Linked DNA regions of Canis lupus familiaris. The protein of the gene in region 1 interacts with the protein of each later gene in a pairwise test. Links are inferred from orthologs where the notes say so. Each region holds a gene or a part of one and is shown in the gene's direction. Other genes may lie near its edges. The genes, in order: FHL3, HIPK1, DCDC2B, SAP30BP, C9H9orf116, PATL1 and MRM3.

Evidence for each region.
Region 2: the proteins of FHL3 (region 1) and HIPK1 interact in binary tests that used the Homo sapiens proteins (3 or more experiments, as listed by UniProt). The two-hybrid records come from large-scale screens. The link is inferred for Canis lupus familiaris from reciprocal best matches to the Homo sapiens genes FHL3 and HIPK1.
Region 3: the proteins of FHL3 (region 1) and DCDC2B interact in binary tests that used the Homo sapiens proteins (3 or more experiments, as listed by UniProt). The two-hybrid records come from large-scale screens. The link is inferred for Canis lupus familiaris from reciprocal best matches to the Homo sapiens genes FHL3 and DCDC2B.
Region 4: the proteins of FHL3 (region 1) and SAP30BP interact in binary tests that used the Homo sapiens proteins (3 or more experiments, as listed by UniProt). The two-hybrid records come from large-scale screens. The link is inferred for Canis lupus familiaris from reciprocal best matches to the Homo sapiens genes FHL3 and SAP30BP.
Region 5: the proteins of FHL3 (region 1) and C9H9orf116 interact in binary tests that used the Homo sapiens proteins (3 or more experiments, as listed by UniProt). The two-hybrid records come from large-scale screens. The link is inferred for Canis lupus familiaris from reciprocal best matches to the Homo sapiens genes FHL3 and PIERCE1.
Region 6: the proteins of FHL3 (region 1) and PATL1 interact in binary tests that used the Homo sapiens proteins (3 or more experiments, as listed by UniProt). The two-hybrid records come from large-scale screens. The link is inferred for Canis lupus familiaris from reciprocal best matches to the Homo sapiens genes FHL3 and PATL1.
Region 7: the proteins of FHL3 (region 1) and MRM3 interact in binary tests that used the Homo sapiens proteins (3 or more experiments, as listed by UniProt). The two-hybrid records come from large-scale screens. The link is inferred for Canis lupus familiaris from reciprocal best matches to the Homo sapiens genes FHL3 and MRM3.

Annotation. Positions count from the first base shown.
Region 1 is NC_049236.1:4,653,559-4,657,593, forward strand, and holds the start of FHL3 (four and a half LIM domains protein 3), read left to right. Parts: upstream 1-1,234; 5' UTR 1,235-1,321; intron 1,322-4,035. UniProt on the Homo sapiens protein: Recruited by SOX15 to FOXK1 promoters where it acts as a transcriptional coactivator of FOXK1.
Region 2 is NC_049238.1:52,268,447-52,271,965, forward strand, and holds part of HIPK1 (homeodomain-interacting protein kinase 1), read left to right. Parts: intron 1-1,114; 5' UTR 1,115-1,116; coding exon 1,117-2,192; intron 2,193-3,519.
Region 3 is NC_049223.1:68,392,649-68,396,879, reverse strand, and holds the start of DCDC2B (doublecortin domain-containing protein 2B), read left to right. Parts: upstream 1-1,424; 5' UTR 1,425-1,780; coding exon 1,781-2,049; intron 2,050-2,965; coding exon 2,966-3,017; intron 3,018-3,421; coding exon 3,422-3,498; intron 3,499-3,911; coding exon 3,912-4,043; intron 4,044-4,231. Other genes in the region: IQCC (IQ domain-containing protein C), read left to right, coding at 1-66, 189-1,040.
Region 4 is NC_049230.1:5,747,333-5,751,249, reverse strand, and holds the end of SAP30BP (SAP30-binding protein), read left to right. Parts: intron 1-1,302; coding exon 1,303-1,387; intron 1,388-1,663; coding exon 1,664-1,845; 3' UTR 1,846-3,410; downstream 3,411-3,917. UniProt on the Homo sapiens protein: Plays a role in transcriptional repression by promoting histone deacetylase activity, leading to deacetylation of histone H3.
Region 5 is NC_049230.1:51,281,044-51,285,085, reverse strand, and holds the start of C9H9orf116 (UPF0691 protein C9orf116 homolog), read left to right. Parts: upstream 1-1,229; 5' UTR 1,230-1,246; coding exon 1,247-1,392; intron 1,393-2,497; coding exon 2,498-2,576; intron 2,577-4,042. Other genes in the region: MRPS2 (28S ribosomal protein S2, mitochondrial), read right to left, coding at 309-434, 563-602. UniProt on the Homo sapiens protein: Microtubule inner protein involved in the attachment of outer dynein arms (ODAs) to dynein-decorated doublet microtubules (DMTs) in cilia axoneme, which is required for motile cilia beating.
Region 6 is NC_049239.1:37,550,154-37,553,672, forward strand, and holds part of PATL1 (protein PAT1 homolog 1), read left to right. Parts: intron 1-1,495; coding exon 1,496-1,713; intron 1,714-2,013; coding exon 2,014-2,094; intron 2,095-2,708; coding exon 2,709-2,903; intron 2,904-3,519. UniProt on the Homo sapiens protein: RNA-binding protein involved in deadenylation-dependent decapping of mRNAs, leading to the degradation of mRNAs. Acts as a scaffold protein that connects deadenylation and decapping machinery.
Region 7 is NC_049230.1:44,978,203-44,982,391, reverse strand, and holds the start of MRM3 (rRNA methyltransferase 3, mitochondrial), read left to right. Parts: upstream 1-1,373; 5' UTR 1,374-1,409; coding exon 1,410-1,723; exon of another isoform or gene 1,724-1,819; intron 1,820-1,979; coding exon 1,980-2,224; intron 2,225-4,189. Other genes in the region: GLOD4 (glyoxalase domain-containing protein 4), read right to left, coding at 1,218-1,307. UniProt on the Homo sapiens protein: S-adenosyl-L-methionine-dependent 2'-O-ribose methyltransferase that catalyzes the formation of 2'-O-methylguanosine at position 1370 (Gm1370) in the 16S mitochondrial large subunit ribosomal RNA (mtLSU rRNA), a conserved modification in the peptidyl transferase domain of the mtLSU rRNA.

The DNA of each region.
Region 1 (4,035 bases):
GCCTGGGAGCAAATGAGTCTCTGTTCTGAGAGCTTGGCTAGACCCAGCCTGGGGGATGGGAGAAGCCCTGTGGCACCTGAGTCTCTACTCTAGATGCTGAGGTTATTTCTAGAGTCAGTTTGTTGTCTCCTGTTTTGCAAACAGTACAGCACAGCCTCCTCCTCCCTTCCCCACCCTTCTAGATCGAGGCTATTTATGCCTAGTGACAAGCCTGAGGATCCCAGGGGGATTGGCCCAAGGACCTGGAGGGGCCTTGTGTCCCTGGCAGGCAGCAGTCCTCCCTCCTGGGGCGCAGGGAGAAAGCCAGAGGATTGGAAACTGTAGAGGTGGGGGAGGAAGGGTTCCCTCCACTTCCCTCCACCAACCCTGCGGTGCCCCATCCGCGCACACTCTTCACACCCCTCCCTGAGAAACCCAAAAACCATGGGGCCAAGGATTAGGGTCTCCCCTGGGCCTCAAAGGTCATAACTATTCCTGGGCACTGTGGAAACCCAAGGCCGAACTTCTCTGTCCCAGGGTGCCTCCGGAGGTGAGGAGGTGGGGGGTACTTCTGTTTTTGCCACTCAAAAGTTGTGAAATCATTGAAGGTCAAGGCCCAGTCTGGGGTCAGGCGGAGGCGGAGGTGGGGGGGTCCCTTCTTCACTCCCTGTTTCCAGAGAACACCTTGGTTCCCATTGATAGGGAGGGCCGTGACAGCAGAGTCAAGCCACCTCACACACACACACTCCCGGGCCTCCAGGCTTGATTAAGGCCCCTTTACAAGCTGGGTCTAGGTGTGACCCTGAGGGGATGAGCTGGAAGGTGGGAGTGGGGGCGCACGAAGAGGCCATGAGTGAGGACCCCAGGGGACTTGGGTGGGCTGGGTGCCGGCCCCCGTGCTGGAGATCGAGTGCAGCAGGCCGTCTCCAGCGGGCTGCTGGGGGGTGCAGGGGGTGCAGCAGGGGAGGGGACGGCGGAGGCGAGCAGGGGACGGGGGCGGGGTCCCGGCGCCGGGGAAGGTCGGGCGAGCCAGGTTAGACCCGCGGGCCCGAGGGGGGGTGTGGGCGGGGTCTGGCCCCCGGCCTGGGGGTGCGGGGCGGGGGCGGCCGGGGGCGGGGTCCGGGCGGGGCGGGCCCGGCGCGCACTTCCTCGGGGAGGGGTTGGGGCCGCGCTCCACTCGCCCGCTGGGTCCGTGCGCTCCGGCAGCGCCGCCGGCCGCCCGCTCGCCCCGCTCGCCCCGCTCGCCCCGCCCGCCCCGCCCGGCCCCGCTCGCCCGGCCCGCAGGTACGAGCCACCGAGGGACGCGCGGCCCGGCCTCCCCGCTCCCGCCGCCCGCTCCGAGGTGAGCTCCCGCCCAGGCCGGCTCCTCGCCCGGGGCCCCCCGACGCCCCGGGGGGCGCGCTTGGAGCGGGGGGCGCCGAGCCCCGGAGGGCGCCCCCCCACCCCCGGGACCGCCCCGATCCCGGCCGCCCGGCGGGGTGGGGGGGGCTGCTCGACACCTGGGGATGGGGGGGGAAGGGGCCAAGTTTGAAACGGAGAAGCCAGAGTCGAGCGCGGGACCTGGAGGGTTGGGGAAACTGAGGCTCCCTGAAAGCCGGGCGGAGCCAGACCAAGACGCGGGCCCGCGCGGCAGGCTTGGACAGGGGGCTGCACGGGGACCCGAGTCAGGGAGTCAGGGACAGGTTCTGGGGGCGTAGAGTCCCCGAGAGGGAGACCGGAGGCGTCTGGACGGACCTAGGTTTTGTGGGTTGGAGCACTCGAAGGAGAAGCGTCCCCTGACCCCGGTGAACACGGAGCAGCGCCCTTCCCAGGGCTTTGCAGGGTCCCGGGCGGTGAGGGGCCCCGAAGCCTAAGCTTCCTTAGCCCTGTGGCAGATCAGCCTCTGTGAGGCCTATGGAGCCGTCCAGAAACTGCAGACAGGGACGCTCAGGAACAGAGGTGCTCCGAGGAGGAAGCGAAGGGGTCGGGGTGGGAACCCCTTGGAGGCACTCAGTTACGGAGATTTGGGTGTACAGAGGTAGAAATGAGCAGAGGTCACTAGCCCGGGACACAGGTCCCCAAAACACGAAGACAGCTGAGGTGTGCAGAGGCTCAGTCGCGCTGCGTGGGGCGCAGCTGGCTTTGCTCGAGGCGCCCTGACAGCTTCCCAGACAGACCCCGAGACACGGAGGCCTGAGAAAGACTGGGAAGCAGGGGTGCGGGGAAACAGAGACTCTGGGCCAGCCAGAGCCCCGTGAGGCAAGGACCTGAGACAGGCACGTCGGAAAGGAGCCCCAGGCACACACCAAGACAGCCCCAACTTATTTTTAAACTCAAATCATGGACATGCTGCTTCAGCCCTGGGGGACCCGGGGTGAATGAACTGTTCCTCTCCTGTCCCCAAGGCAGCTGCTGGATCCCGCTTCCCGCCCTCCTTCCCCTAAACTGCTCTGACTCCCAGGCCCCATGGCGGGGAGGGGTGGGGAGAGGGAGAGTTTGGGGTTGGTGCCTGATACCGGAGGTTGGGGGCTGGGGGGGGTTAGGTTTCTCCCCTTAAATCTCCTGTCAGTTCCTGGGAGCTGGGAGGAGGGGTCTGATCTGATCCTGACTCACAGCTGTGAGGCCTGGCCAGGGTCCTCCCCGACAGTGCAGGGTGGATGGGGGCAAAGGAGTTGAACGGTTGGCATGGGCAGTTGGAAAGGCTTCTGGGTGCCTTCCAATGGCAGGGTTAGCAGCTGGGGGAGAAGAGTGAGACTCCTGTGCTAGTGATGTCACCGAGTATCTCCCACACCCCTGCTCTTAAAATGTTGACCACCCCGTTTTGCCACCGCTGCAGCATTTTTAGAGAGAAAAACAGGAAAGGGCTCCAGGCTGGGAAGCAGGGAACCTGGGCTCTCCGAGGCCTGAGTGACCTTGGGCCTGGCTTGTCCCTGTGCTCGACTGTAAGATGGGAATGACATGCTCTTCTGCCTGCCTTTTGGGAGATCTGGTGAAATAGTGGATGGGATTTCTCTTTATGGGAGGCCAAGCAGCATGCAGGTGTGTACACCTGTGTACCTGTGTGAGGGGTCTCAGGAGTTATGCTCATTGGCACCAGGCCGGCCCCACTGATCTCCTCAGGCAGCCCCACGGCCTGGGCTTCTTCACTTCCCCTAGTGGAACTGGGGAGTGGGGGTGGGGGTCCCTCTTTGGTCTATCCCTGAATCTACCCTGAGAATGTCCAGGTCAAAACCCAGGCCAGCTCCCTGAGCCAGGCCTGGCTCAGAAATTTGTCTGACCCCCGTATGAGTGAGGGGCTGATCATAAAAACGCCCACAGCTACCATTCACTGAGGAGTCCCTTTCTGCCAGGTGCTTTCCAAGCACCACCATTTCAGCCTGACGACAACCCCGGGAGAAGGGGGTAGGCGTAGAGGAAAACAGGCCCAGGAACCTTAAGTGACTTGCCCAAGATCACCCAGCTAGTAAGGGAAGAAGTCAGGATGCCCACCCCAAGCCACATTTGGGCCTACTATACACTGTGCCACAGCCATTTATCTAGCCATTCTAACCTCTGGGAGGCTCACTGGAAGGTGCCAGATGTGTGTGTCAGGTGTAGGGGTGGTGTGTGTGTGAGTGTGTGTTTGTGTGTGTGTTGAGGACAAGAGTTGAGAGCCATTTGGCAGACTGAGCAGTCTCCTCCGTAACCCCCCCTCCCCAGGCCATGAGGGAATATAAGACTGGTTCTCTTCAGTTCTCTTGCTGTGCCAGGGAAAGTGGGAGGGAGGGGAGGAAGGGGGATGGGCAGGGACAGGTGGGTCTCCATAGTGCCCTTCACTCTGTCCTCATTAGAGCCCAGCTGGACAAACTAGGGGACTGGGGGATTCTGGGAAAGAAACAGAAGCCATGCCCATACCCTATTTGGGGTGCCCCTGTTTCAGAGTGATGACTGCCTCCCAGAGGGTGGCCCCAGGGCTACCCTGGGCCCGGGAAGGTGATGGCTGCTGTGTGCCAAGCCAGAAAGGAAGGAAAAGATTTGGGGCACTCCCCAACGGACCACGGCCACACACTCCACCTGTGTGGCCCCCTGCTGCCCAGT
Region 2 (3,519 bases), on another chromosome or scaffold:
GCACATTTTGGACACTCTTTCTGTGAATGTAGTTTAAGATTGAATTAGCTTTTGGTTGGGGAAACATTATTACATAGTGTTTCTTTTACCAACTCAAAGTGTTTTTCATATACATGTGCTCCTGCTAAACCTTGAATTTTTTTATCCTGGTGCTTTGTGCTAGTCATATTTTGGGCCTGTGTAGGATTCTATATTTGTGTCAAATTTCATCTAGATTTGTCTTGCGGCTTCTGCCCTATTGTGATCTTTTGGGACCCGTTATTTTAGCAATATATTGAATATCCTTCGCAAATTTGATTCAGCTGTAAAATTTGTAAGTGTGTCATCTATCTCTAAATGATCAAAAATCTCATCAGGGTAGGAATGAAGACAGAGCTGTGGAATGAGTTCTGGGGCCAAAAAGCCTCGGTTTGAATTCCAGTGCTGCTACTTAATAGCTGTGCTATTTTGGGCGAGTTACTCTAGCCACTTTGTATCTTAGTTTCCTCATCTGTAAAGGGGAAATAATGATAGTATCTTTTCCAAAGGGTTGTGGTGACAATTAAATGAGTAATGCACGTGGAAGTGCTTAGACTACTCCTTGACACATAGTAAGTGATCAATCATCTAAGCTATTATTATTATGGTTATTATTTTATAAACCATCATAGATGTTCATGCTCTTTTGACAAGGTGACTTACTATTGCTGAGTCTCAAAGAGTGATTAAGGGTGAGTGATTAGGGGCACCTGCGTGGCTCAGTGGTTGAATGTCTGCCTTTGGCTCAGGTTGTGATCCCAGGGTCCTGGGATTGAGTCCCACGTCAGGCTCCCCGTAGGGGGTCTGCTTCTCCCTCTGCCTTTGTCTCTGCCTCTCTTTCTGGGTCTCTCATGAATAAATACATAAAAATCTTTTTTAAAAAAAGGGTGTGTGTGTGTGTGTGTGTGTGTGTGTGATTAGACCAAAAAGTTTATCCTTCTGTAATAGGAAACATATTTTGGAAAATGCATAAAATAAAACTCCAGCCAGATAGTAATATTTTACTTGTGGTTTTACTAAACTAAAAGTTTTCTAATCTATTAATTGCAGGGTTGTGTAAAACTGAGGATCTAATTCTTCCTCTCTCTCAACGTAGGTATGGCATCACAGCTGCAGGTGTTTTCCCCCCCATCAGTGTCGTCGAGTGCCTTCTGCAGTGCGAAGAAACTGAAAATAGAGCCCTCTGGCTGGGATGTTTCTGGACAGAGCAGCAACGACAAATATTATACCCACAGCAAAACCCTCCCAGCCACACAAGGGCAAGCCAACTCCTCTCACCAGGTAGCAAATTTCAACATCCCTGCTTACGACCAGGGCCTCCTCCTCCCAGCTCCTGCAGTGGAGCATATTGTTGTAACAGCTGCTGATAGCTCGGCCAGTGCTGCTACATCAACCTTCCAAAGCAGCCAGACCCTGACTCACAGAAACAACGTTTCTTTGCTTGAGCCATATCAAAAATGTGGATTGAAAAGAAAAAGTGAGGAAGTTGACAGCAACGGTAGTGTGCAGATCATAGAAGAACATCCCCCTCTCATGCTGCAAAACAGGACTGTGGTGGGTGCTGCTGCCACAACCACCACTGTGACCACAAAGAGTAGCAGTTCCAGCGGAGAAGGGGATTACCAGCTGGTCCAGCATGAGATCCTTTGCTCTATGACCAATAGCTATGAAGTGTTGGAGTTCCTAGGCCGGGGAACATTTGGACAGGTGGCTAAGTGCTGGAAGCGGAGCACTAAGGAAATCGTGGCTATTAAAATCTTGAAGAACCACCCCTCCTATGCCAGACAAGGACAGATTGAAGTGAGCATCCTTTCCCGCCTAAGCAGTGAAAATGCTGATGAGTATAATTTTGTTCGTTCTTATGAATGCTTTCAGCATAAGAATCACACCTGCCTTGTGTTTGAGATGCTGGAGCAGAACTTATATGATTTTCTAAAGCAGAACAAGTTTAGCCCACTGCCACTCAAGTACATCAGACCAATCTTGCAGCAGGTGGCCACAGCCCTGATGAAGCTCAAGAGCCTTGGTCTGATTCACGCTGACCTTAAGCCTGAAAACATAATGCTGGTCGACCCAGTGCGCCAACCCTACCGAGTGAAGGTCATTGACTTTGGTTCTGCTAGTCACGTTTCCAAAGCTGTGTGCTCAACCTACTTACAGTCACGTTACTACAGGCAAGTGGCAAATGTTAAAAAGCATATCTTAGACTAGAGATCTATCTTTATATTTAACATATATTACATAGAGTACGTATAACAAACTGAATTTATTTGCAGATTGCAAGGTAGAATAGGAAAATATGTTTTACTTCATTCCATCTCTGGCATTCCTATATGTAACATTATTTCTGAAGTTTTATTTAACACTAGAAAAATTAATTCAGTCTAATTCTGAAGGTTGTTCATAGTTGAATTATACTAGCATCCGGTTCCTTCTCAAGTACCATTAAACCTAATTCTCCCATTTTAAAGAGTCTTTAAAAATATAAAGATGTTTACTTATTTGTAATGAATTTAGGCATATGCTGCTACTTTTCCAAGTTCATATCTTGGCAGGTAAGATGCCTTGGGAATAATTCCAGGTTTAACTCTAGCAACATTTCATTCTTTGACGTTTTCTTTTTTGTGTAGTAAAGAGAATTGGATTTGATGATTGCCGAGGGCTCTTCCTATTTTAACATCTCCATAAGAGTTCGAACTTAATTTGGCTATGACCTTATTTGGTTATCCTAAAATGTCCTTGACCCAATAAGTGCCTATATTTTAGTGATTTATATTTCCAGATTGATACTTCTAAGAAAGCTGTCTTTTTAATATATAATAATTATTGTGAAAGTACTTAAATGCTTGTATATACAATGTTGTCTGTGCTATAATCAGGGAGAATTACTGAAAATAAAGGGGGAAGTCTTAAATGAGCTTTTATTTCTTAATACCACATTTATTTATTTGTCTAGTTACTAATTATAAGGAACCTAATATTTAATTTTAATGATCATTCATTAAATACAAATTGTACACTCACCCAATCAAGAAATGAAACAATAAAAAAAGATAATCCACAATATATGTTTATCAGGTGATATGTCCAACATATCAAATGCCCATATTAAATTTTCAGTAAATAGAAAGTCTGAGCTTAGAATTTTATATTGTGTGTGAAAATAAAAGAAGGATATTTTAATCTGAACAAAGGCTCAGAAGGTATGCCATCTACATATTTTTTTCTAATTGTGTAAAATCTTCCTAATATGAAGTTTACCATTTTAACCATTTTAAATGTACTATTCAGTGTGTTAAGTATGTTCACAGTGTTCTGTAACCATCACCACTATTCCTAAAATTTTTTAATCACTCAAAACAGAAACTCTGTAACCATTAAGCAAAAACTCCACCTTTCCCTCTACCCCTGGTAACCTCTATTTGACTTATTGTCTCTGTGAATTTGCCTATTCTAGATACGGCATGTAAGTTGAATCATACAATATTTATCTCTTTGTGT
Region 3 (4,231 bases), on another chromosome or scaffold:
TACCACCACAACCACTTGGCCATGGAACTGCTGTGGCTGCAACAGGCTATCAGTAGCCGTAAGGAGGTAGGCACTACCTTGGAGCCCTTCCTGCATGTTTAGGGCCAGGGGTGGGGCTTAGAGAAAAGCCTCCTGCTCTATGCTTAAGCAGTCCTGCCTGGTACAGTGTCTGTACTCTTCCCCAACAGTACCTGATTCTTAAACAAACACTGACATCTGGCCCAGAGGTGAGCCGGCCCAGAGACAAGCCCAACTTGTGCCCAGATGGCAGGACACAGACCTGTGAGAGGGCTGGGTCACAAACAAGCCCACCACCAAAAAACCAGTCCTACAGAGACAGGACCACTAGAGAGCCAGACTATGTGGATGACTGTTGGAGGCTCAAAGCACAACGCCACAAGTCCCTGGAAAGACTGGCCACTACAGACAAAACTACTGCTGGGATCAAGTACAGGGACCCATGCTACAGAAGAGCTGGGCCACAGCTGCCCACACTATCAGATAACCAGGCCTTAGAGAACAGGTTCACCAAAGAGCCAGACTGTGGGGAACAGACCTTTGGACGGACCTGCCCGCAGCGGATGACTGCCCTGGATGACCACACCCCCAAAGACCTCAAACCCAGGGGCTCCTATTCCGAAAAGGCCAGGACCTGGGTGCCCACACTCTGTGAAGACCCAGATATTGAGGACAAGTCTCCCACAGGGCCGGAACACAGAGAGGCCAATCGCCAAAGAGCTAGGCCACGGAAGTCGGACCTCTCAGAGGACTTTGGCATATGGGATGAGACCTTGGCAGAGTATGGTGGCCAGGATCTCTGGAAGACTAAACCACCTAAGGGCCAGTTCCCTAGGGACAAAAGCTCCAGAGACAGAACCTCCAATGAACCTAGCCATGAGGAAGGGAAAAACCAGAGGATTGTACCATGGCAATCAAGGCCGCCTGAGAAACTGTCTTCAACAGGGACACTCCACATGGGAGAGGAAGGCCCTCCTTGGGGAGCCAGGGGGAAGACCCGCTTCCAAAGGGGGGTGCTATGAGAGGGTGATGAGGGAGGCAGGGCTTCATCCTTGCTCCCTGCTACCAGCTCTACCTTCTGCCCTTGGCCATTGGTGGCTAATGGGGCCAAGAGAAGCTGGAGCAAGGAGCTGGCACCAGCATAGGGAGAGGATAGGAAGAGACTCTCTTCCATCCTCTGTCTGTAGCTTAATCCAAATTTTGGGACAGGGAGTTATCCGGGGTAAGTAAAGTGGGGAGCCTGATAGAGAATAAAGGTTTTTCATGGATTCTACACCTGGTTGCATTCATCATCTGTCTCTGTTCAGGATCGACATTGGGCCTTCCTGTTCCCTACCTGCTGGCATGCGGCATCTTCCCAGGGCTGGCTGGGAGCCACAGTCCAGGGGCTGACTGGCCATCCTTGGGAACAGCCCCCAAAGCTGATCTTCCTTTGAGCTCAGCCCTTGGCCTTCGGAGTGGCAGGGTGCCTCAGAATTCTTCCCTCTATCCAGTATTGGAACATCTGTGTTTCAGTGTTATCTCCAGCACTGCCTCTCACTAAGCCCCAGAGTCTTCCTTCCAATATAGTCATCAGACCCACCCAACTCTCGAGAGGCCCCACCAAGGGCTGACTGGCTGAGACCCAGAATGGAGACACATGCTCCTGCAGTCTCTCCCTGCCTTCTTTGGTTAGGGGGCAGGACTCTACTTCTGATTGGCACTACTCCCGGCCTGCCTGGTTGCCTGGCAACAGATCTGCGTCTATGGCAGAGGACACACTATGGCTGGTGGTGGCAATCCAGCAGCCAAGAGGGTGGTGATATACCGGAACGGGGACCCCTACTTTCCAGGCCACCAGCTGGTGGTGAGTCAACGCCGCTTTCCCACCCTGGAGACCTTCCTCCAGGAGGTGACATCGATTGTGCAGGCCCCAGTGGCAGTGCGGGCCCTCTATACGCCTTGTCACGGCCACCGTGTCACTGACCTGGCCGACCTGCAGAATGGAGGGCAGTATGTGGCTGCTGGCTTCGAAAGATTCTGCAAGCTGCAGTGAGTGGGCTGGGGCTGGTTAGAGCCTTGGGAGGGAGGGAACTGCAAGAGCAGTAGTATTTGTATTTAGTACTTGTATGTGCAGGCACCTCATATGTTCTCTTCTGGAATACAGCAGCCCTATGCAGGGGGTGGTCTTATCCCTATTCTGTAGCAGGGAAAATCAAGACAGGCTAAATATCCTGCCTAAGAGCCTACAAATTACAAACAGCGGAGCCACAGCTCTAGGGAATGTCTGACCCTGGTATTTATGCCCATCACAGTCAGGACTGGGCTGCTAGGAGAACATTCTCTGCAAGGTGAGCCCCTTTTTCCAAAGGCTCTTCTTGATTGGATCCTCTACCACCACCGTTGCCCACCGCTAAATCCATCCATCACTTCCTCCCTGCTGTGATAAGGCAACCTGTGCTCTCCGCTGGCTGGGGTCATCCCCTCTCAAGGTGGGGCCATGCCTTCCAAGATGGGAGAAGAATTTTGAGTACCTGAGCTTCCAACTCCTATCTGGTTTCCAGGTGCTCCTCAGCAGTCACCTGAGGTTGCTTAGGGTGGCATAAGGAGCAAGGGGTGGGAAGCCAGGCTGACCTAGAATCTGGGCTCTGGCACTTACTTCCGTGTACTTTAGGTGAGTCACTTAACTTTCTCTGTCTCACGGAAAATGAGATACAGTTGTGAGTGAGAATATTTCTGAGATACAGTATGATGCTTAAGGAACTAGTTTCTCTTGACCTTTAATCTTAATGGTTGGTGTCTGAGACCCCAGTCTGGATGTTCAGCCTGACACAGGGCCCTAAGGCAGGTTCAAGGGCCACATCTGTTTCTGGAAAGATGTTTTGAGACTATCCCAGTGGGAATGGATACCTGGTAAGCTGAGCCCCCAGGCTCCCCAAGATGACCTGTGACCCATCTGTCCTTTCAGCTATTTACCCCCCGGAAAGAAGGATTCAGGTGGAAAGGGCAGCAGATTACCAGTGAGTACTGGGAGTCGTCCTCTAACCCTTCGTGGGGTTGCCCCCAATTCTGTCTTGGAAGTCAGGGGCCCTGGAAATAACAGGACCTGCCAGTTCCACAGGGGGCACTCTGCACACCCACTCTGGAGTCAGTTGCTGCCCTTCCTGGGGTGCAGGATTTCAAAACTTTCCCTTGATCCTTTCCCAGCCTTTTATTTTATCTCCAGATTGTGGTCCGCAAAGCAAAGAGGAAGCTGTAAAACACATGGGGGCAAGGGGATGGTTGGAATGTGACTCCAGGGAGATGGAAGGGCCCTTTGGCGAAAGATGTAATCTATCCCATCCCTCCTTGCCCCCCTTGGACTGACCCCTCCAACCAAAGGCTTCAATTCTGTCCTGATTTGAGGGCGTGACTTGGGTTTCAGGGTCCTCCTGTGACTCACTACCCACGTGACAGGACCCTTGGATCGCAACCACCTGCAGGCTCCCCCTGCTATATCCAGTGAGTACCAGCATCAGAGAGCAGGAACAGAGATTCTGTTTCAGTAAAGACCAAGAAAACGGCAGTGGATTTGTTCCAGGAGGCCCCAGGTCACCAGCAGGGATATAAAAATTCCCAGTGTGAGACACCTGGGTGGCTCAGCGTTGAGCATCTGCCTTTGGCTCAGGGTGTGATCCTGGGGTCCGGGATCGAGTCCCGCATTGGGCTCCCTGAAGGAAGCCTACTTCTCCCTCTCTCTGTCTCTCATGAATAAATAAAATCTTTACAAAATAAAATAAAAAGTCCCAACGTGCCTGATGGGTGAAAATGGACCCATGCACTGGCTCTTAGATCATCTTCTGGCCCCGTGCTACCCTTCTTCCTCTCACACAGGGGGTTCTAGGGACTCTTCTTACCAGACTGCTTTGTCCCAGTGTGTTCAGGAATGGGGACCTGTTAAGTCCCCCATTTAGCCTGAAACTGTCCCAGGCTGCCAGCGAGGACTGGGAAACCGTGTTGAAGCTCCTGACTGAGAAGGCCAAACTGCAGGCCGGGGCTGTGTGCAAGTGAGTGCGGAGTGCGGGTCTGGGGAGGTCCACAAGTCCCTAGAGGGAGCCTCCCTACTGACTCCGGCTGCCCATGAGGGCGACAAGGCAAAAGGAAAGCACATTTCCCCAAATGGGATTCCTTCTATGCCACAGGGAGAGGCCCCTCCAGCTGAGCAGGGCAGAGCCTGGGTGACTGGGCCAGGTGC
Region 4 (3,917 bases), on another chromosome or scaffold:
CTGCACTCCCCCCTCCCTCTGCTGCCTGCTACAGCTGCGGAGCCCTGCTGGCTCTGGGCATGGTCATCAGTGTCCTCCCTGGCCTGATAGAGTAGTGGGTCTTCCTCCTGAGATCTGATCTGCACAGTCTGCCTCCATGCTTCCTTGTAGGTCCCATGCCTGGTGGCCAGCTGACCCCTTATTTTAGGGTCTGAATAGCACTTCTTCTCAAGCAGCGTGATTTACTTTTTTTAAAAAAGCTCTGCATTTTATTTTTTTTAAGATTTTATTTAATCATGAGAGACACAGAGAGAGAGAGAGAGAAGCACAGGCACAGGCAGAGGGAGAAGCAGGCTTCATGCAGGGAGCCTGATGTAGGACTCAATCCTGGGTCTCCAGGATCATGCCCTGGGCTGAAGGCGGCACTAAACCGCTGAGGCACTTGGGCTGCCCAGCAGCGTGGTTTAGATCTTTGGAGAACAGAAATTTGGCGATGAGACTAAACATCCTCAGGGCGCTATGCCCTTTACGACCAGTCTCTGAGAGAAAGGGGCCTTGGCACCAGGTCTGCCCACCTTGGCTTTGCCCTGACCCTCCTGCAGCAGCTTAGCCTTCAGGATGCCTCCAACCCCCAGCAGAGGGGCGGCCACCCACCAGGAGCTGGTGCTGGGGTGATCAGGTTTTCTCGTTCTTAGTGCTTGATGGAGTGTCCCTTCTGTCTCTTTCCCTCCCCATTCCAAACCCCAGGCTTAGTGTGGGACATGTCTGCAGCACCTGGGAACCAGAGCTGTGCTTCTGCCACACGGGTGGGTACACCTCCACCCAAAATGTGAGGCAGGGCAGCAAGCTGGTTTGCCCTGCACGTGCAGAAATGTGGTGATGCTGGGAGCAGTCCAATGTCTAGAAGGCTGTCCTCAAAGTAGTAAAATTCAATTCTCTCTCCCTCTTCCTCTGCCCCTCCCCCCAAAAAATAATAAAAAAATCAAAGGGGCCCCTGGGTGGTCCCATGGGTTAAGCATCCAACTCTTGATTTTGGCTCAGGTTCTGATTTTAGGGTCATGAGATTGAGCCCCACCTTGGGCTCTGCACTGGGTGTGGAGCCTGCTTGAGTTCTCTCTCCCTCTGCCCCCCCCCCCTCTCCGGAACACAAAAAAATGTAATAAAAGTCTCCTCCAAGCACCTCTTGGACTCCTCTCCCTCTCTTAGCACAACAGGGCTGCTTCTCACTGCCTCCTCTGTACAGCACAAACTCAGCCCCGCTGGCCGAGGATGCGGATAAACTGCTTGGCACAGCCCTTATCTCTTCCCTTTCTCTCTCTCCAGATCGAGTTTGTGACAGGCACCAAGAAAGGTACCACAACCAACGCCACAGCCACCACCACCACCACAGCCAGCACAGCAGTTGCAGGTAAAGGGAGGCTGGTCTGCTTCTAGCCACACCACAGATGGAGCCGGGGTTTCCCTGCCTTGTTTGGGGGAGCAGAGCCCATGGAGATCTGGGCGTAGGCTCCACCTTGCTGTGTTCTTTTCTGACCCCAGAGTTTGCAAGGCATCATGGGAACTTGGGGTGGGGTCCCCACTTCACTGGCTACCCCTTCTGTAGGGGCCCCTAAACCCTGACCTAGAAAAGAGAATGTTGCTTGTCAGTTTATTGTCCTGACACTCATCCCTTGCTTCACTCCAGATGCCCAGAAGAGAAAGAGCAAGTGGGACTCCGCCATTCCGGTGACGACGATAGCGCAGCCAACCATCCTCACCACCACAGCCACCCTGCCAGCTGTCGTCACGGTGACCACCAGTGCCAGTGGCTCCAAGACCACTGTGATCTCTGCCGTGGGCACCATCGTGAAAAAGGCCAAGCAGTGACCTGAGGGACCAGCTTGGGGTGGCTTGGACATTTCTTTCCATCGAGGGGAGGAGCCACTTCAGGACTTGGGGAGACTGTGCAGCCCGGAGACCAACATTGGCACAGAGGTGCCGCCTTGTTTATTTCAGGACTGGGATCTGCTCCCCAGATGCCACCCCAAGAGGAGCCTCTTTGTGGCGTTCCAGCCAGGAAAAGGACATAGCTACAGAGGAGTCGGGTGCTGTGGACGGTGTCCACACACCACTTGAGGTCCGGTGCCCTATTAAAAGTGCCGTATTCTTCTGTCGGCATCTTGGCTGCACTGGCCTCTTCTGTGGTCTGTTTTCAGGCAGATGCGGAAGTTCCAAGTGCCCTCTCTATCTCCTCTTGTCGGGTTTACTACCTCAGGGTTGGTAGTGGAGTGGCCAAAGCCTGTGGCACTAGTCAGTGGGGGCAGCCCAGGAAGTGGCTGTGGTCATTCCCGGCATGTGCCTCTTGGCACGGGCAGGTGGGCGTCCAGAGAGTGGGGGAGGCCCCATGGTCCCGCTGGCCGCTGCCCTGATCCTGAAAGCCAGCCAGTTCTCAGACAAGAGCCGAGGTCTCTGCTCCCTTGGGGGAGATTGAGCCCTCCCAGACTCTTTAGACACACCCAGGCTTTTGAAGTCCGGCCCGTTACCAGAAGGCCTGGATTTGATCCCCAGGCTGCACAGGGAGCCCAAGAGGCATCCGCGCCTGGCCAAGGCTGCCCCGGTCCCTCAGTGCCCACCGAGCACAGCCAGCGGGCTCCACGCCGTGTGGGACATGAATCACCTCCTGCCCTGGCGGCGGCGGCTCATTGTTTACGTGAAAGCCAGGCTCTTGGGAGGATCCTGCCACCCCACCTTTCCTGTGCCTGTTATCTCTGCCCCACAGCAGCGCCTGGGCAGCGCCAGTGGCCGCCGGGCTCCTCTTGAGGCCAAAACAGATTTCCCAGCCGCTGTCAGCCCAGAAGTCTGGAGGGAATTCTCTCGCTTTTCTTGGCCCTTGGCAGCTGTCCAGCCCAGCGGAAGGGCTATGTGTCAGAGAGGGAAGCCGGGCTGTGAAGAGCCGTGTTGCTTCTGTGGCATGGGCAGAGGGTTAGAAAAGTGCTCCTAAAATTGCACCTGGTAACTGTCGCATAACCAGAGGAGTACCATGATCCTGCCCCACCATCCCCAAAATAAAAATTGACTCACACTTGTCCCCACCCTTGCCCCCCTCCACACACTTGGGCGCTAAGAGAGGTCAGTGTCATCCTCCCCTCCTTTGATGGGACTTTGCAACCCTGGAGAGGAGCTGCTGCCCCTTCAGTCCCAAGAGGGTCTCTGAAGGCTTCCTACCCTGCAGCCTCCAGCGGAGGCCCCTCTGTGGTGCAGGGGCACCGGGGTTGTGTGGGAGGCGGTGCAGCACAGTGGGCATGGCAGGAGACGTGGACTCTGCCCCTCTGCTCTGCTCTGGATCCTGGTTTAAACAAGTTGTGTTTTCAAGTTGTGTGTCTTGGGCCCTTATCTCTGTGAGTCTTCTCTGTCAATTCCTGTAATAAAGCTTTCTAATTAAATTAGGGCAATTGTGAGAAGTCCGTGAGATGATTTGTGCAAGAGCTGTATAAACTGTAACGTTCAAGTGCTTGGGGCCCCTGGGGGTTTCACTTGGGGAAGCGTCTGCCTTTGGCTCAGGTCACGACCCCCAGGTCCTGGGATTGAGTCCTGCATCAGGCTCCCTGCTCAGCGGGGCGTCTGCTTCTCCCTCTGCCTCCTCCCCCTGCTGACCTGTGCTCCAGTGCTCTCTCTCTCTTTCTTTCTCTCTCTCTCTCTTTTTTTTTTTTTTTTTTTTAAATCTTATTTATTTATTCATGAGAGACAGAGAGAGGCAGAGACACGGGCAGAGGGAGAAACAGGCTCCACACAGGAAGCCCGACATGGGACTCGATCCTGGGTCGCCAGGATGGCGCCCTGGGCCGCAGGAGGCGCTAAACCACTGAGCCACCCGGGCTGCCCCTCTCTCTCTCTCTTGAAGAAATAAAATCTTTTTTAAAAAATAGGTACAAATGTTTGACCCATCCGGTTCCTTCTTG
Region 5 (4,042 bases), on another chromosome or scaffold:
CCAGCCCGCAGAGGAAGGAAGGTCCCCATCAGGAGTCCCGGGAGGGCCCTTGCAAGGAGCCAGGCCGCACGTCTACCCCCCCCACCCGCCGCTGCAGGTGCAAGTGACCCCTGCCCCCAGCCCCCAGCCCCCAGCCCCCAGCCCGCGGGTCTGCTGCCTGCCGGCCTTCCGGGGCCCGCTCCCCGCTGCTCCCCGCTGCTCCCCACCCCCCAAGCTTCGCACTCGGGACTCCTCGTGGCAGACGACTCAGCCCCCGTGGGAGGGCCAGGCGCCCCCTCCCCCCCCCGCCGCAGGGGAGCCTGCCTTACCCGCGCTGCCCTCCGGCTCGCCGACCGCGGGGATCGCGGCGCCTGCCAAGGTCCTGCCGCCGGGCCGGGCCCGCCCCGGGGTCGCCGTCCCGAGCAGAGGCGGCCGCAGCGCCCGGGGCCAGACACCTGCGGGGAGAGCCGGCCGTCCTCGCGCTGTCCCCGCCCGCCCACCCCGCTCCCCGCGGGCCCCGGGCAGCTCCCGCCCGCACCCCCACGCCCGCCGCGGTCCCCGGGGCCCCTCCGCGCGCACTCACCCGCGCCGAGCAGCCGGGGCGCGGTCGCGGCGGGAGCCATGGCGCGGAGGACGACCCGGCGGGGACACGCTCTCGGGCCGCGCTGCTTCCGCCCCCGCCGGCGCCCCCGCCGCAGCGCCGCCTGCCGGCCCGGAGGTGCCCCTGCGCGCCCCGCCCCTGCGCGCCCACAGCCCTCGGCCCCGCCCCTGCGCGCCCCGCCCCGCCCCCGCCGCTCGGCCCCGCCCCGCCCCCGTCCGCGCGCGCCGCGAGCCCCACTTCGGCCCGCCGCTGGCCGGGAGTCACCGGGGCGCGCCCCCCGCCCTGCCCCCGGCTCGGCCCCGCAGCCCGCACGAGTCCCGGCCCCGGGGCGCCCTCCTCACCTCCGGCCGGTCTAGCACAACCTGCCGCTCTCCCCAGGAGCATCCCGGAGGACCAGGCGCAGGTGGAGTCTGCCCTGAACCTCCGGGCGCCGGGCGGCCGTGCGGAGCTGGGCGTGGGCTTCCCGCTCCCCCGGCCTGAGCCGGCCCGGGGGCAGATCCGCGCTCGCCACCCCACCGCGAGGAGCCGCCACGGTCGCCGGCCTCCGGGAGCGCGGCGCCTTCGGGGCGGGGCCGCCCGGGCAGCTGACCCGGCCGTCGCCTGGCAACGGGACGCCGCGCCGCCTCTCGCGGCCTCCCACCCGCCGCAGCGCGGGAGCCCAGGCGCATGTCGGAGCCGAGCCCCCGAGAGTGCGCGGCGGCCGAGGAGCCCCCCGCCCCCGCGGGGCCCCCGCCGAGGACCAGCGACTACTACTGCGTGGACGAGAACCTGCCCGTCAGGTTCAACAACCCGGCGTGGTTCCGGGGCTACGGGTGAGGACGGATCGGGTCGGGGGCCACCGGGCCAGCGCCGGGCCTGGAGGGGGCGGGGGGCTCCCCAGTCCCCAGCCCGCCCTGCAGCCCAGGTCAACGGACTTGCCCGCGGTTAGCACCCAGGGAGCGAGGAAGTGCCGCCCGAAGCTGCAGACCCGCCTGCGGGGGTGCTCGGGTCACTGCAGGAGGGGCGGGGTGGCCAGGCAGCCGCACCCAGCCGCACGCCTCTCCAGCTGAGCGCAGTCTCTGCAGAATCCGAATCCCGCAACCACCACCCCACCCCCCCGTAGCTGTTCTTGCAAAGCCTTAGACCCAAGTAGTAGAACACCCGCCACCACACCTGCCCTGCCCTCCCTCACCTAGTCTCCTCTGCAGGCCGGTAGACCAGATCTGTTAGTATTCTTGCTTTCCAGGAGAGACTGCTGAGGGTGGAAGCATAGCATCCTGCCCCAGATCTGGTGGCATAAGGCACGGCTGACATCCCAACCACAGCCTGGGCTTTAGAGACTGTAGGCATGTTTTCTGCCCAGGGCTCTGAAAGTGAAGGGACCCTCCCACCCTGGGGTGGCAGGGTGTGGAGGCTGAGCCCTGGGTCCTGACCTACCCATCTTCCCCGGGAAATGACGGTATGTGCCAAGCCTCCACCCCGGTTGAGGTCTGCATTTGCCCTCCAGGAGTTCTTTTTTTTTTTTTAATTTTTATTTATTTATGATAGTCTCACACACACACACACACACACACACACACACAGAGAGAGAGAGGCAGAGACACAGGCAGAGGAAGAAGCAGGCTCCATGCACCAGGAGCCCGATGTGGGATTTGATCCCGGGTCTCCAGGATCGTGCCCTGGGCCAAAGGCAGGCGCCAAACCGCTGCGCCACCCAGGGATCCCCCTCCGGGAGTTCTTTAGGGCTTTGGCCTCCCTTGGGGAAGAGCCAGGGTGGAAGTGAGCCGAGGAGGCAGGGAGGCTCATCGTGCCTCCCGCGGCACCCCACCTTCGGAGCCTCAGCACCAACCTGTGGCATTCCCAACAGAGCGCCACCAAGTGAATATTCTAAGACTACAGGCTTGGGCAGAATTGGAGTAACTGTTTCTCATCTGCCAGGACCAAGGAGCCTGTCTCCATGTACAGGACCAGTAACCAAGCTTACGGGAGCAGGGCCCCCACCGTGCATGAGATGCCGGTAAGCCAAGCTTGGAAGCACCTGTGTGTCATTGGAACATCTCCAGGAGGAGGCTGTGACCCTGGATTTCTCATGAGGGGCGGTGGGGAAGGGCCCAGATTTCCAACCTCACAAAACTGGAGGTGGCACATCAAGTCCTTTCCAGACAGAGCAGAGCGGAAATGAGTGAGTGAGCAAACTTAGCGATGGAATGTGTCAAAGATGGAAAAGGTGTGTGTAGACTGGCTTGAGACGTCCCACCCCCTCTGTCATCTTAAGGCCATGAGTTTTGAGGCAGACAAGTGAACAGTTGCTTTCTTTCTGGAATAATACTTGATTTTAATGAACTTGTGGCCTAAAGAGACAGGACGGGCCAAAATCACAGGTGGCAGGAGGACAAGGCATCCTCTTGGCGGACAAGGCATCCATCCCCACGTGGCTGGATGTGGGGATCTGTGCACCTTTGGGGAATCCTCACCCCCTTCTGGAGGTTGATGTCACAGTCTGGAGCTCTAGAACCCCCTTCTGAAGCCCCCTGGTGTCTCTCTTGGGCCCAGGTGAAGGGCCAGGCTGACCAGCGTAAGCATTCCCTGGATAACTCAGGACAGCAGGGCCACCCACTTTGGGCTGATGATGCTGTTGTTTCTTTTGAAATACTCATCATTTAGAGATCTGGCCAAGTTGCTCATTTGCTTGTTTCACATGGGAGATACAGCCCTTGTGAGGAGATTATTTATCTAGAAAGTTTCTAAAGCATTTAAGGGTCACTCACCCAGAATCAAAATGATTCCACATTTTTCCCAGGATCAGGTATTAACATGAAAAATACCAGCACACTCAACTCACTAACATGGGTCCAAATGTTTTACTTTTAGAAACAAGACCATTGAAAAAAAAAGTTTCCTAATTTTTTTTTAAATTGTGGGGGTTTGCCCCTCGCTGGTCTTAGCAGGTGATGGGCCGTGAAGCACTAGATGCTCTGCAGGCAGGGTCGGAAGGAGGTTCTTCCTGCTGCTAATTGACGGGCTTTACCTGCAGACTCAGGTCAGGATACCGAAAAGCGGGCTGCAGCTAAAGCTGGTCAGTAAGCAGCAGGAAGAACCTCCTTCTGACCTACAATCTTTTTTTAAAAAAAAAAGAAAGAAAAGAAAGAAATGCACTGAAGACATTTATTTTTGCTCCTGCCTCCTGCCAAGCAAAAAGAGTATCAGGTGATCTTGACACGAGGAGAGCTGAAGAGCGGGTCCACCTGTCCAGGGTAAAACACCTAGCCCTGGCCCTGTATGTCAGAAATCTCAGGGTCTCCCCAATGACGCTGTGCTGCTGGTCCAATCACCACCCTGGGTGCCTGCGCACACGTGCATGGACTCGGCTGTGCTCCCCACCGTGCCCTCACCTCACTAGGGCAGCGCCTCCCCATGCCCCTGGGCTGGTGGGGTGTGGGCATCAGAGGCATCTTAGAGCTCTACAAGGGATCTGAGTGTGCA
Region 6 (3,519 bases), on another chromosome or scaffold:
TAAAATACATACAAATACATGGGGGTTTTGTGAGTTTGAAAGTCTTGGTGTTCAGATGAGGTGAAGGTAGCATTAAAATGAAAAGATTTTTTAGGGAAAGTTTCCCTGAGGAGGGAAAGACACCTGAATTTAAATGCCAAAAGGAGCGAACTAGTGAGTGGAAGCAGAATGAAGGATGATTGAGGAGCACTGGGATGACCGAGCGATGGAAATAAGGTAGGGAAATAAGGAGCAATGGAAATAAAGAAGCTGATGGGGGTTCTGAAGACTTTTACCTGTGCTGTAGCAGGACTCATAAATAACACTGCATCGGCATATTGTGTGAACACATAACCTTGTGCCAGCACCAGACTGTGTAGTAGTGTGCAGGAATAGCGGGGACGTTGTTAACATGGAAAAGGACCGGACCAGGTCTGGATCGCCATCCCCTTTCCCCTGGCGTGCTGCAGTAGCCATCTGGCAGACCTCCATGCTTCCATGTTTCTGCTCCTTTCCCTGCCCCTCCTCCCCAATTCTTGAATCTGTTCTCAGTACAGCAGCCAGAGTGTTTCTTTCAAAAAGTCAAGCCACATCAAACCTCCAGTGGCCCCCATTTCAATCAGAATGACCTGGAAGGAGCTCTCTCCCATCATTTGGCCTCATTTTTTTCTACTCTTCTCCTCGATTATTCCAATCCAAACACAGTGCTTGCTATCTCTCACAATCGTCACTTATCCTTAAGCCTTCTCTATAGATGTCCTCTGTGTGGAACACTCTTCCCCCACATAATCCACACAGCCATCTATTGGACTCTTGATTCTGCTCAGACGTCACCCTCAAAGTGAGACATACCTCTGACCATCCTACTCAGTCTCCAACCTTTGCTTTTCCTCCGTCCTCTTACAGCATTTCATCTCCTGATAATAGTACCGAATTTACTTATTACATTTATTGTCTACTTTTTGTCTCTTCTCTACTTGAAGGAATGCTCCAGGAGGCCAGGGACCTTTATGTTTTTATACACAGATCTATCCCGTGTGCCTAAAAGAGTACTTAGCACATAATATATACTCAACAAATACTCATTGAATGAAATGAATGAATTTGAGAGCTTGTAAAGAAGACGATTATAATTTAAAAGAACCTGTATACCAATGCAGAGAGTTTTAACTTTACTTTTTTGCCTGATAAATCATAGAATCTGAAAACCTATGGGTTGTTGTATACATACCTATCACCAGTTTAGAAATTGTTTTCAGGATACAGTTTGGATGCCATTCATAATGTATTAAACTATCAGTCTAACTGCTTGAATTTTATTTCTGGCATGATGTTATTTGTCCTTAATCACAAAAATCCCACTTTCAATTTAAGCCTCTTAGCTTAAATCTTATTTCATGTCTCTAAGTGGAAGCTGACTATATTCTAACATGAGTTCATTTGGTTAATTGAAGAATTTCATAAAACTTTTAGTCCCTATATGAAGTATGTTTTTTTTCTTATGATGTCCTTATAGATGATGATTGGCAAGAAGCCCATGAGCGCCTGGCTGAATTGGAAGAGAAACTGCCAGTGGCAGTTAATGAACAAACAGGCAATGGAGAAAGGGATGAAATGGACTTGTTGGGTGACCATGAGGAGAATCTGGCAGAAAGGCTCAGTAAGATGGTGATTGAAAATGAGCTAGAAGATCCAGCAATCATGAGAGCAGTGCAGACCAGGCCAGTTCTGCAAGTGAGTAAGTTACTCTGATTTGAGAACTATAGCAGACTAGTAGTTAAGGTGAAGTATTGAGCTGTGCATTTTGTTTCATCTACTATCCTAAGAAACTTGCATGTTCCATATAAAACTATTAATATAATTCCTGATCATAGCAGTTGAAGGTGGGGAATAATGTACATCCTAGAACACTGTAGTTTCGTCTTCTCAAGCAGTTGAGACTCTTTTGGAGCTTTGTTCACCGAAACCAGTTTAAATCGCCCAGAAAGCTCTCAGTATTCCAGACTTTGCGTATGTGTTTTCCTTTTTTGTTAGCCCCAACCAGGAAGTCTCAATTCCAGCATCTGGGATGGATCTGAAGTTCTGAGGCGAATCCGAGGACCACTGCTTGCTCAGGTATTAAACATTTTCTCTTTATACAAATTCCTAGTACGTGGAAACTCCTGTTGGGATCCTTTCCTTACTGAAACAGTGTATAGGTGTGTCTATCATTTGCTATTATTGTGTTGATTATTTGATCTAGTGCTCATAACTGTACCTGTTGATGGTACACTTTCGCAGCCTCCACAGCAATGCTCAGTTGACTGTGCTTTATTTTGAAAAGGTAGAAAGGGAGACATTAGAATTCAAATTTGTTAGCTTATAATCCAAATTCCTGAAGTCATTGCTAAGTAGAGCCATGGGAATGAAGAACAGATAGGTGTTTAACAGTGGTTGGAGGTAGTGGAAGGGGTTGACTGCTGAGGGACAGTACAGCAGAGGTTTGGGCAGTGACAAAACTGCTCTGTTTCTTGACCGTGGCAGTAGATCCATGAATCTCTGTATTTATCAAAATTCAGAGGACTGTACAGCAAGGAGAGGGAATGTTACTGGACATGAATAAAGAAAAAGTTTAAAAATTTCTCAAGATGCTTTTGGCATCTGTACGTATTAAAACATTTTAAGTTGGCTGTGGGCTAATTTTCTATTTGTTTTGTTTTGATTTTTTTTTAACCCATTTCTTCAATTAGGAAATGCCGACAGTGTCTGTATTAGAATATGCCCTGCCTCAAAGGCCCCCACAGGGCCCAGAAGATGATCGAGACCTTTCTGAGCGTGCATTACCACGGCGGTCAACTTCACCTATCATTGGGAGTCCTCCTGTTAGAGCCGTCCCCATAGGCACCCCACCTAAGCAGATGGCCGTACCCAGCTTCAACCAGCAGGTACCTCTCATTAACAGGCACTCAGCCCAGGATATTGGGAATCTGGGCAAAATTATTTGGGAAGTTGGCAATGCTGGGAGGAGGGTGGAAGTTTTGGGTAGGCATTAGATTAGAAAGAGAAGTTAGTACAAATAAGAGACACTTTCCCTAATGCCCTTTGCTGGTGCTGCTCCTGTTGCTGCTGCCTTTTCATTGGGGGAGAAAAAGGGTAGTTAACCACATTTAGTGTATATATCCTTTTCAAAGTGTTTTGCTGGCTGCCCACAACATTGGCAGAGAGGTAACTAAAAGCCGGGGGGAGTGGGAACACACAGCATTGTCCACATCCCTTTTTACCTTTAAGATATCCCTGCTTTCCCTAGAGCCTGTGCAGTCCTGTTCCATAGACTTTCCTCCACCTGAAACCAGCAGCTGAAAAGGAAGGCCAATTTGGAAGGTATGGGGGGAGGGTGGTGTTGGTATGGCCTAGTTAGGCTCAGTATTCTATGAAACGGTGGAGTCACAATGTATCACAAAACAGCTGAGCATGGCGGCCATATCACAGGGGCTTCAGAATAGGACTTAGTTAATCCTCCAGCTTTCTTATCATTCCTTCTCCCTCGCTGCTACCAAAATA
Region 7 (4,189 bases), on another chromosome or scaffold:
AAATAAATAAATAAGTAATCTTAAAAAAAAAAAAAAAAAAAAAGGTAGTCCTAACCTATTTGTCCTGTATCCCACCTCAACTTCAACTAAGTAATCTAAGCTAGAGGCACAGAAAACTAGTGGTGTTTTCCAAACATACCTTATTTTTTCACTGGCTCTTCCAGTTTTCCTAGTACACTCCTCCCTCTAATCTTTGTGGAAATCTTACCTATCTTTACATATCAACTCAAATTCAATTCTCTGTGGATTATTTCCTGACAACTCAGGCTGAAATTAAATCTTTCCTGTAGTATTTTTGTAATAATAGTGGTGGCTACTACTTATACAATACATATGATATATTAAATACCACACATATAACAGTGTTTAATCTTCACAACAACCCTTTAACCAATGAAGAAACACATTAAGGGAGAGTTTTGTGGTTTTCCCTCACTTATCAAGTTTTGATTTCCATTACTGTTAACTATATACAAATCAGCTCAACATAGGACCGTGAAACGCGGATGATATATTCTAAATGACTGACGAATTCGGGTAACTCCCTTGCATTCCACGTCTTCTTCACTCTCTACATTAAATTGCACTCTTGCACCTCTAAAGCCCTTGCTTATCAGGAGCTCTCCACCTCCATTTGCCACGCAGGGATCCCTGCAAAATCGCAGCTGCTTAGAGCTGGAGAGGGCGCTTCCGGGTGTTAGAGAGAATGGGTACTGACTTCACACTTGGATCTGGACTGCTAAAAGGAGGGCCGGTGCAATCACCCAGAGAGTGAATATCCCAGCGATCAGAAGCCTTGAGAGAAGCAGAGCTCTAAATAGGCTGATTATCTAAACTGAAAGGCTCCAAACAGTAACTGAGCTATTGTTCACTGGAGAAGTATTATATTGCTTTTTGTTTATGATCTTTCCCGCTTGACTGGAAGCTCCACAAGAGCTGAGGCTCAGTATTTGTGAATGAACTTAAAAGCGTGAGGGCAAACAGTCGGAGACTAATAAAGGCCCCTTTCAAAGGTCATCTAACCCAACCAGAAACATGCAACGCTTCCTGGAGCTGAAAACCTGACAAGGCTAATGCGGAGTCCAGGGCTAAGGTCTGACGCCCGGGCGCTGGCGGAGATTCACGGAACACCCATTTGGCCCCTCCTGGGGCTAGTGGGGCTCAGCGGTCCCGGCCACCCAACCTCGCGCGCCAGCCCTCCTCCGCCCCGTCTGCACCTTCATCCCCAGGACATCGCGAAAGAAACGCGCGGTCTGGAAGCGGTTTCCCACTTTGAACACGAAGTGCAAAGCTCGACGAGTAGCCATAGCTATTAGCGAAACACACCGTCAGGAGGCTGCGCGGGCCGGTCGTGACGTCACTGGTCCCCGCCGGCGCGCTTCCGTGACGCACGCACGGCGCGAGGGAAGATGGCGGCGTGGGTAAAGGGCTTGGGGTGGGTCACGCGGCCTCTCTTGTCGGTGGTCCGAACTTGGGACCTTGACGCGCGGCGCTGGGTCCGGGCGCTACGGCGGAGCCCGGTGAGGGTGGTGTTTCCATCCGGACAGGCGGTGGGACGGAAGCCTGGTCCTGAGAAGCAGCCCCGGAGGGCAGCGCCTGAGGCCAGTCCCCACGAGCAGCGACAGAAGCCGCCGCTTCAGGTGTCCGCATCCCAGACGTCCTGCGCCTGGGAAGAGTCTGGGCTTCGCTATGATAAGGCTTTGCCCGGGGACAGAAGGCTGAGGTGATGTGTTCCTGAGACTTGTCATGTATTCCCGTTTCTCTCCCCGCCTGCCATCGGGACCTTAACCCGTTTTTTCCTTTTGGAGGACTAATCCCGGTACAACTTTCTGGTTTTTATTAGGCATGGAGGGCAAAATAAGTGTTTTCTTTAGAATTCGTTTTTTTATGTCTATGAAGCTCTTTATGTCTCTTAGAACTAGGTGTGTTTTGGTAACAAGGATGTTAGTAATTACCTGTCTTTTTGTTTCCACCCACAGCAGTGTAATGACAATAGTTAAGTCCAGGCCATTTCGGGAAAAGCAAGGAAAGATCCTACTGGAAGGTCGCAGGCTTATTGCAGATGCTCTCAAGGCTGGTGCTGTGCCAAAAGTTTTCTTCTTTAGCCGTCTGGAGTACATAAAGGAGCTTCCCATTGATAAGCTGAAAGGTGTCAGTCTCATTAAGGTGAAATTTGAAGATATCAAGGATTGGTCCGACCTAGTAACTCCACAAGGAATAATGGGTCAGTACTTATGTCACTAGAAGTAGAGATCTAGGATTACTTATTCATAATTGTCTTAGGGCAACAAATTTTATTTGAACCAAATTCAAAATGTTTTAAGACACTCAGATAAATACAGTTCTCAGATCTGTGGGTCTTACAGTATTTTCAGTGGAAGCTGCAGTTTTTTTTGTCATTATCTATCTGTATTGTGGCTCTTTATAGTTCTTTGAACATTGTATTTTTTTAGGTCACTTTTCAACCTTCAATGTCCAGCTAAAATTTAAGAAAATGTTTATTAAAGTATTTAGCTCTCCATTTGTCCAAGACCTCTGCCAGTGTGGTGATACCTCTCTGTCTTTAACCCTCTTTGTAGAAGCATGTCTAAGCAGAAAGCTTTGAGCTTATTACCCTGCTTAGCTCATTGAACAAGAAACTGTCTTTATTTTTTTTTTTTTTTAGAAACTGTCTTTATTTGGTTGAATCAAAAAAGATTCTAATAGACTGTGGTGTCTATTAGCACTTAGAAGGGTTTATTTTTCTAAATATGGAAAAACTAAATTTACATCTTTTTGACATTGGAATTATATCTTAGATCTGAGAATTGAATGGCAGTTAAGTGTAGAGGTTCCTCTTGGATAGTAAGGGACAGTTGGGGCAGGCAGAGTTATTTTCAAGATTCTAATGTTTAGGCCAGGGTCTGTCTCTCTCTCTCTCTCTCTCTCTCTCTCTTTTTAAACTTATTTATTCATGAGAGACAGAGACGCAGGCAGAGGGTGAAGCAGGCTCCATGCAGGGAGCCTGATGTGGGACTTGATCCCGGGACCCCAGGATTACACCCAGGGCCCAAGGTAGGTGCTAAACCTCTGAACCACCCAGGGATCCCCTAGGCCAGGGTCTCTGATATCAGGTCTCTGTTGTGCATGTGTTTCCTTGTGGGATAGTTCAGCTATTAGGAGAGGAAGTTCTGGGGACCATCTCTCGTTCTGTAATCCAGTAAGTCATAGTGATCTGTGACCCTGGATTTAGAACTCTCCCCTAGGGTGGGGATTTGGGACTGCTAAAGCCCTCCACTTTAAGTATGGTCTTGTTAGCTACACCTTTAATTCCCTACTCTATACTACAGTGCAAATATCACTCAATTTTTTACCATGCTTGTCACTTTGCACATGTGTGCTAATAGTGGCCAGCCTATCCAGGACTCTAGCCTTCCTTGTTGTTATGACTGCCTTCATCATTTCATGTCTCTTAGAAATATGTGTATTTAGCTTATCCTTTTTTTTTTTTTTAAGATTTTATTTATTTGTCAGAGAGCATAGCAAGGCAGAGAAGGAGAGGGAGAAGCAGACTCCCCGCTGAGCAGGGAACACGATGTGGGGCTTGATCCAGAATGCTGGGATCATGACCTGACCTGAAGGCAGACACTTAACCAACTGAGCCACCAAAGTGCCCCTATTTAGCTTATCCTATGTTTTATTTAATGTTGGAGGGATGGGGTATAGGGAGAAAGAGATAAGACTGCCTATCAGATTTCCAGCACATCGGGGATCCCTGGGTGGCGCAGCGGTTTGGCGCCTGCCTTTGGCCCAGGGCGCGATCCTGGAGACCCTGGATCGAATCCCACATCGGGCTCCCGGTGCATGGAGCCTGCTTCTCCCTCTGCCTATGTCTCTGCCTCTCTCTCTCTCTGTGACTGTCATAAATTAATAAAAATTTAAAAAAAAAAAAAAAAAAAAAGATTTCCAGCACATCTTTAAAATCTAGTAATGTAAGTAGGGCCTCTCTAGTAGAGAGCTCTGATCATTGCAGCCATTCAGGTAAAGGTTAAAGGACTCCTGAGGCCCCTGCCCCACTGAATGGTTTTAGAGCTAGCTATCTGTGGCTCCTAAGTGCAGGACCTTTCTACAGCACACAGATGCCTAATATTCTAGTACCTTCATTGATGGGTTAGGTATAGGTATTTATGTGTTCTTGGTGTGAATACAT